2 linked regions of the Macaca mulatta genome follow. The protein of the gene in region 1 interacts with the protein of each later gene in a pairwise test. Links are inferred from orthologs where the notes say so. Each region holds a gene or a part of one and is shown in the gene's direction. Other genes may lie near its edges.

Region 1 (3,745 bases):
GTGTAATTTAATAAAAATGTAAATTGCCGGGCGGATGACACGCCCTGCCACGGTGTTGACCGAGATTAATTGCGGGCGCTCATGGTCAGCCTGCCTTTGTCTCTGCGCCCCGAGCGCAGCCCGGCTTCTCCGTCTGCCTGGGAGGCAGACACCGTGCCGTCCACCCTGATGGGGACTGCAGTGTCCGGGCTTCTGCCGAGCAGGAGGGGGGCCTGGTCAGTCAGAGCCAGCCCCTGCTGTGACCCCACACCCCTCTCCGGAGGAGCACGGGGCTGGGAGAGGACATTCAGGGGCCTGTGCTGACGGGCAGGTTCCAGGTATGCGGAGGGTCCCTGGCCAGCATGGTTAGGGAAGGCCCTCCGGGGGGATGCTGTAGGTGGACTTGTGCATGGGAAGGAGCAGCCGGTGGGGAGGTGGAGGAGGACCTCTCAGGCCAGGGGAACAGTGTGGGCAAAGGCCCCAGGGTGGGGCTCACTGGCAGGGGGTGGGGTGGTCAGTTAAGAGCTGGACGTTGAGGTCTGGCAGCCAGGAGGGGCCCGGTGGGTGACAGAGCCAGGCAGGGCATGGCCAGTGGTGCTGGGCATGTCCTGATAGTGGTGAGCATCCTTCAGAGGCTGTGAGTGCTGAGTGAGGGTCGTGGCGGCTGGTGAGGATGGACCCTAGGGGCAGGAGGGGAATCCGTGTCCACTCGGAGACGGAAGCAGAGGCAGCCGTGGCCATGACTGTGGGGGATGGAGGAGCCGGTTAGAGCCGTGGCCGACAGGCCTGGAGCAGGGGCTTGGGGTGACCCTGTGGTTTGGGCCCACACAGTGGTGCCATTTCTAGGGACGTGAGGCATCGAGGGGAGTCGGGGGTGCCAGGTGTGGAGGCAGTTGCAGTTGAGGTCATGCAGGACCCCTTGCAGGTTACAAGAGCAGTGCGCATTGAATGCCAGAGCTCTGGGGTAGACCTGGAAGCCTCCCAGGAGGCGAAACCCCAGGGTCTGTGGTTGGAGCTTGGAACATTTTAGTGGCCCCGGGGTCTGTGGTTGGAGCTTGGAACATTTTGGTGGCAGGGCCAGGGTTTTGAGAGGGAGGACAGAGCAGCATTTGCTGGCGCAGCGGGCATCGTGGTGCGATGGTTTCCAGGATGCAGGGCAGTGAGAGCCAGGTGCAGCTCCTCTGAGCTCAGGCTGGCTGGGAGGGTCCCCGCAGCCCAGTTTTGTCCCAAGGTCCCCCAGGGCCCATGTGGCCGCTTGTCCCCTGCTGCAGATGGAGGCCAGTCACGGACAGAATGTTGATCTGGTCCCGGGGGATGCAGGTGGCCGACACGTGGGTTGAGTCTTGGCTGAGTTCAGCCAGGCTCGAACAGCCATGCTGCTGTGGGATTGCGATGGAGGGCTGGCTCCTGCTCAGTGCTTCCCGGCCTACGTACGCCCTGTCCTCGGGGTCCTAGGCTGCATGGCACCTGCCCATCCATCCGCTGTCAAAGGCATCACGTGTCCGCTGTGTGCTGCCTCAGGCCCAATGCAGGGTTCGGTGGTCAGAAGACTTCACGTGCCTCCCCCGGATGCTGGATGTCGAGGTGGGTGAAACTGGGCCTGGGGTTGCAGTCCCTGAGGGAGAGCTGAATGTGTGTGCGTGGCTTTAAAACACCCAGAAGCCCCAGACCTTGGCAGGACCTGACTTTGGACACCAGCTCTGTACCGCCTGAGTGCCAACCGTGGCATTGCGCCAGCAGGGCCTTGAGACTCGGGAGGGGCTGGCATATCCGAGACCCAGTTCTGTCACTTGCAGTGAAGGGCTGGTCCCCGCTGAGAAGGCTGGTGATGCACGGTGGGTACGCCGCTTCCCGGGAGGGGACCTGTGCTGTCCCTGAATTCACCGAGGGCCAGGAGGGGTCCCAAACACTGACCCGCCTCGTGAGGGCCTGCACAGAGGCTCTTGCAGGAGAGGGGTCTGGCTGGGCCTGCAGACCCCAGCTCCCTGTCCCAGCCTGGCCCCAAGCTCCCGCTTCCTCATGCTGGGCACCCGGGGAGCCCTGCTGACCCCTGCTCTGCACCTGGACAGCTGGGTGTCGGTGGTGGGCCTGCTGAGGGTAGCTCTGGACAGGGGTGCCTCGGCCTGGTGGAGGGCTTGGCCGAACTTGGTGGCAGGGAGGGAAGCCTCTCCACGGGGAGCAGGAGGGAGGATAGGGACGGCTGGTTGGTGGGGAAAGAGAAGAGGCTGGCTCAGGTGGCCTGGGGTCTTCGGCTGCCACATGTGGCAGTGGTACTGCAGGGGTGGCTCGGCCCTGAAGCTCGTGGCGGGTAGAGCATGCATGGACAGGGACCCAGCAACTTGGCGAGCATGGGCCAGATGGGCAGGGTTCTCAGGTGGCCCCATGCGTGGGTGCCATCAGGAGACCCCGCATCGGGCGAGGTTACCTGTGTGCCTGCTGACTTGTCTCATGAGGTTTGGGGACTTTAGTTCTACCTGAATGCCCGTCTCCCTGGAGGCACAGGGCTGTGCACAGGGTTCCCCAGGGCTGGGCCTGCCGGGCGGTGTCCACCCGGGAAAGCTGCTTGGAGGAGGGGCAGAGCTGGGCTGGCTCGGGTGGGCGGACGGGTGCCGCAGGCTCTCCTGGGGTGGGAGTGGGGTGGACAGTGTGCACGATCTCGCCCTGCCTGTGACACCTTCCTCTCCTCCTAGTTGGGTCAGCTTCTGGCTGCGGCTGGTGTCTGGAGGTCCGCAGGCACCGCTGGGACCCCTGCGCCAAGCCCAGGACCCCTGGTTCATGCCTCTTTCCAGAGCACTTGCCGGCCTATGGTCGGGAGGAGCAGACCCGCCAGATGGCTGTGTGTGTGTTGAGGGAGGGTGGAGGATGGGGGTGCAGCCGCCCAGAGATACCAGGAGATGTCATGCCGATCGCACGCTTTGATTAAACAGCCTGTCTGGGGCCGAGTGGGCAGCTGGTCAGTGTCAGGCTCCCAGGGCAGGATGTATGGAAACCACCGGGGGAGGGAGGAACTGGCCCCCGAGAGCCGGTGGGGCTGGAGCCGCGGAGTGGCCTGAACACAGCGCTGCTGCATCGTTCCCTGGCCCCCGCCTCGCCAGCTGCAGCCTTGGAAGGCCCTTTGCCCCTCCAAGCCTCAGTTGCCTTTTCTGTAAGGGGGGATGGCTGTCCTCGCCCCCTGGGTGGTGGCTCAGAGCTGGATATGCTGTGTAGTAGTCACATGGGTGGCATACTGGTGGCTGGGGTCCCCAGGGGCTGCCCGTGGGTGGTCAGCTCCATTTGGAGGCCTGTGGTTTCCGGCTAGTGTCTTCCACCAGGCACAGCAAGCCCCAGACGATGCTACATGAGGATTGTGTGGGCCCCTGTGCTGTGCCCGGGCTGTGCTCACCCACATGGGGAGCCTGAGGCACTGCCCACTGGGGCCTCCCTGGCCCAGCTCCACTCTGCCCTTCCCCACGAGAACCAGCCTCCCCCCGGGAGCAGCTCCATCTGGGGCATTTTCATGCCTTCTGCTGAGGTGGGTGGGGGTGGGGATTGGGCCAGTGGCTCCGCTTTCCTCGGCCGCCTGTCCCCACTGCATGAGGAGACGCATTCGAGGGGCTGAGAGGCTGAGCCCGGGGCCCGGCCTGGCTTGGGTGGTGTCTCCCCTGCCACCTTGTCCTCATCTGTACTGAGGGTCAGCATCAGCATCTCGGCTGTATGATGGTGCGGAGGCCACCTGTCCTGCACCCACAGGAGGCCCTGTGCCTCAGCAAGGGGGGGCCGAGCTTCC
Region 2 (3,745 bases), on another chromosome or scaffold:
GGGCCAATGGGTCCAGGGGAACAAACAAGGACTTTGGAGTCAGGCAAGATCTGGGCTTGGTCTTCCTGGTGGGATGACCTTGGGCAAGTCACTTTAACTTTTTTAGTCTCACAAAGTAAGAATCTAGCCTTAGAAGGAGGCTGCCAATATTAGAGTGGGAAGTGCCTGACACATAACAGGTGCTCAGAGAATGGCAACCATATATATATATATACACACACACACACACACACACACACACACATTTTTTTTTGAGACAGGGTCTTGCTCTGTTGCCCAGGCTGGAGTACAGTGGCATGATCTCAGCTCACTGCAACCTCTGCCTCCCAGTTTCAAGTGATTCTTTTGCCTCAGCCTCTAGGGTAGCTGGGACTACAGGCACATGCCACCATGCCCGGCTAATTTTTGTATTTTTAGTAGAGACAGGATTTTGCCATGTTGGCCAGGCTGGTCTTGAACTCCTGACCTCAAATGATCCCCCTTCCTCGGCCTCCCAAAGTGCTGGGATTACAGGCATGAGCCACCATGCCCAGCTGGCAACTATCTTTTATTATAACTCTGTGAGTTCTTCTCAGCAGAACTGGACTTTCAGGAGTGGTAGGAATCAGGCAGGGAAAGGCCGGGCGCGGTGGCTCAAGCCTGTAATCCCAGCACTTTGGGAGGCCGAGACGGGCGGATCACGAGGTCAGGAGATCGAGACCATCCTGGCTAACACGGTGAAACCCCGTCTCTACTAAAAAAAAGTACAAAAACTAGCCGGGCGAGGTGGCGGGCGCCTGTAGTCCCAGCTACTCGGGAGGCTGAGGCAGGAGAATGGCGTAAACCCGGGAGGTGGAGCTTGCAGTGAGCTGAGATCCGGCCACTGCACTCCAGCCTGGGCGACAGAGCAGACTCCGTCTCAAAAAAAAAAAAAAAAAAAAAAAGGAATCAGGCAGGGGATAGGGATTCTGAAGGACCTTATTCCTGCAGGGGGCCCAGAACTGAAACCAGAGGAAGGGGGCCTCCGAGACTGGACAGCGGGCAAAGTCCTCCCAGCCCCCCCAGGGTCCTGGCTCCCTTCCCTGTAGCCTGCTCCTGGCCGACAACAGAAGCAGGGCCCCAAGGTTAGGCAAACAAGCTAGTGATAAGGCACTTCCAGGTCGGGCCTTGCATTCAAGGCCCACCCAGCTCTGGGGCTGACTTCCTGGCTTAGCGAAAGCGCTAGTCTTTTGTGCACACAAGAGCAGGCACCAATGGGGACACCTGCTGATTGTGCACCTGGGGCCTTGGTGCCCTGGTACAACCTGGGTTAATGACCTTGTTTATCCACTTGAGTCATCCGATAAGGGGCAGCTGAGTGAGCGGCAGGTGGCCCTGTGCCCTGCACCGGCCACTTCATTGACTGAAGTGATATCAGTGCCACGTGGGGTTCCCAATGCCCCCTCCCCCACCACTTCCCCACCATTCCTGCCAGGGGCAGTGTCTGTGTGTTTTTTTCAATGAACATGACTTCTGGAGTCAAGGTTGTCGGGCCATTCCCCCCCTTCCACTCACTGGGAATATAAATAGCACCCACGGCGCAGAACAGAGGGCCAGAGAGCTGGAAGTAAGGGCAGATCCCAACCATGAGCACCAGCCAACCAGGGGCCTGCCCATGCCAGGGAGCTGCAAGCCGCCCAGCCATTCTCTACGCACTTCTGAGCTCCAGCCTCAGGGCTGTCCCCCGACCCCGTAGCCGCTGCCTATGTAGGCAGCACCGGCCCGTCCAGCTATGTGCACCTCATCGCACCTGCCGGGAGGCCTTGGATGTTCTGGCCAAGACAGTGGCCTTCCTCAGGAACCTGCCATCCTTCTGGCAGCTGCCTCCCCAGGACCAGCGGCGGCTGCTGCAGGGTTGCTGGGGCCCCCTCTTCCTGCTTGGGTTGGCCCAAGATGCTGTGACCTTTGAAGTGGCTGAGGCCCCGGTGCCCAGCATACTCAAGAAGATTCTACTGGAGGAGCCCAGCAGCAGTGGAGGCAGTGGCCAGCCGCCAGACAGACCCCAGCCCTCCCTGGCTGCAGTGCAGTGGCTTCAGTGCTGTCTGGAGTCCTTCTGGGGCCTGGAGCTGAGCCCCAAGGAATATGCCTGCCTGAAAGGGACCATCCTCTTCAACCCTGGTGAGCTCCCAGACACTCCTGGGTAGGGGGCAAGGCTGAAGCAGGAGCCAGCCAGGGAAGGTAACTTCTAAGGGTTTGATATCTGTAATCTCATGGGGTCCACATTTTCTTTTTTTTTTTTTTTCTGAGACAGAGTCTCACTCTGTCACCTACTCTGGAGCGCAATGGCGCGATCTTGGCTCACTGCAACCTCTGCCTCCTGGGTTCAAGCAATTTTCCCTGCCTCAGCCTCCCAAGTAGCTGGGATTACAGGTGCCCGCCACCACTCCCGGCTAATTTTTGTATTTTTTAGTAGAGACGGGGTTTCGCCATGTTGGTCAAGCTGGTCTTGAACTCCTGATCCCTCTGGTGATCCACCCACCTTGGCCTCCCAAAGTGCTGGATTACAGGCGTGAGCCACTGTGCTTGGCCGGTTCCTCATTTTCATCAAATAGCCATCTCACAGAAGAGGTACAGAGAAGCTAAGTGACGAGCTAAAGGTAACACAGCCAGGTAGGGACAGACCAGGATGGCAACTCAGGTCTATTCACTCCAGAGACTGGCCCTTGCCACTCTGCCTGAGAAATTTGCTCTGACCTTTAGAGAAGGCTGCGGGGGAGGTGGGGTGGGCAGACACAGCTGTGTCTCAGTCACATCTTCAAAGGAAGGCTGCATGGTGAAGCTCTAGAGCTGAAACTCCTCTGTGGGTTCAGAAAGATCACTTAGAAGAGAGAACTGAAAGGGGTGTAGGGAGGACAGGAAGGGAGTCTTTGTGGAATTTGGCCAGGAGAGTGGCAGATGAGACAGTGCTCTTTGTAATCTGGAGAGCATCTGAGATGAGCGTTCCCCAGGAGTCCCTGTGGCACGCATAAATCGTAGTAGTTAATTGCAATAATAGTAGCAAATACTCATATCACACTTACCATATGTTAGGCCCTATTCTAAGGGTTTTACATATACTAGTTCATTTAAATCTCATAAAAACCTAGGAGACAGGTCCTATTAATATTATTATCCTCGTTTTACAAATAAAGAAACTGAAGCCCAGAGATTAAGTTACTTGCCCAAGGTCACCCAGCTAAGTGACAGTACTGGGATTCATACTCAGGAAACCTGATTCTTAACCATTACTCCATACTGCCTCTTCATAAATGGATGGATGAATACAATGGAAATTGATAAATAAATTACCTCCTCCAAAGGAGGAGGTAGTAGTGGGACCTCAAAGGCCGAGCAAAGGAGGCAGAGGGGTGTCTCTGATGGCCCAGATCTTGGGCCAGTCTCTTCCTTTGGTGGCTGGGAGTAGGATGCTCACCAACCCTCTTCTCCCTCTCTGCCCACAGATGTGCCAGGCCTCCAAGCCGCCTCCCACATTGGGCACCTGCAGCAGGAGGCTCACTGGGCGCTGTGTGAAGTCCTGGAGCCCTGGTGCCCAGCAGCCCAAGGCCGCCTGGCCCGTGTCCTCCTCACAGCCTCCACCCTCAAGTCCATTCCGACCAGCCTGCTTGGGGACCTCTTTTTTCGCCCTATCATTGGAGATGTTGACATCGCTGGCCTTCTTGGGGACATGCTCTTGCTGAGGTGACCAGCTGCAGCCCAGGCAGAGATCAGGTGGGCAGAGGCTGGCAGT

Evidence for each region. The genes of interacting proteins can lie anywhere in the genome.
Region 2: the proteins of RXRA (region 1) and NR0B2 interact in a two-hybrid assay, tested with the Homo sapiens proteins (2 studies listed by BioGRID and IntAct). The link is inferred for Macaca mulatta from reciprocal best matches to the Homo sapiens genes RXRA and NR0B2.

The regions. Positions count from the first base shown.
Region 1 is NC_133420.1:8,157,047-8,160,791, reverse strand, and holds the start of RXRA (retinoic acid receptor RXR-alpha), read left to right. Parts: upstream 1-1,342; 5' UTR 1,343-1,352; coding exon 1,353-1,563; exon of another isoform or gene 1,564-1,609; coding exon of another isoform or gene 1,610-1,814; intron 1,815-3,745. UniProt on the Homo sapiens protein: Receptor for retinoic acid that acts as a transcription factor.
Region 2 is NC_133406.1:214,067,625-214,071,369, forward strand, and holds the start of NR0B2 (nuclear receptor subfamily 0 group B member 2), read left to right. Parts: upstream 1-1,543; 5' UTR 1,544-1,604; coding exon 1,605-2,136; intron 2,137-3,458; coding exon 3,459-3,700; 3' UTR 3,701-3,745. UniProt on the Homo sapiens protein: Transcriptional regulator that acts as a negative regulator of receptor-dependent signaling pathways. Specifically inhibits transactivation of the nuclear receptor with which it interacts.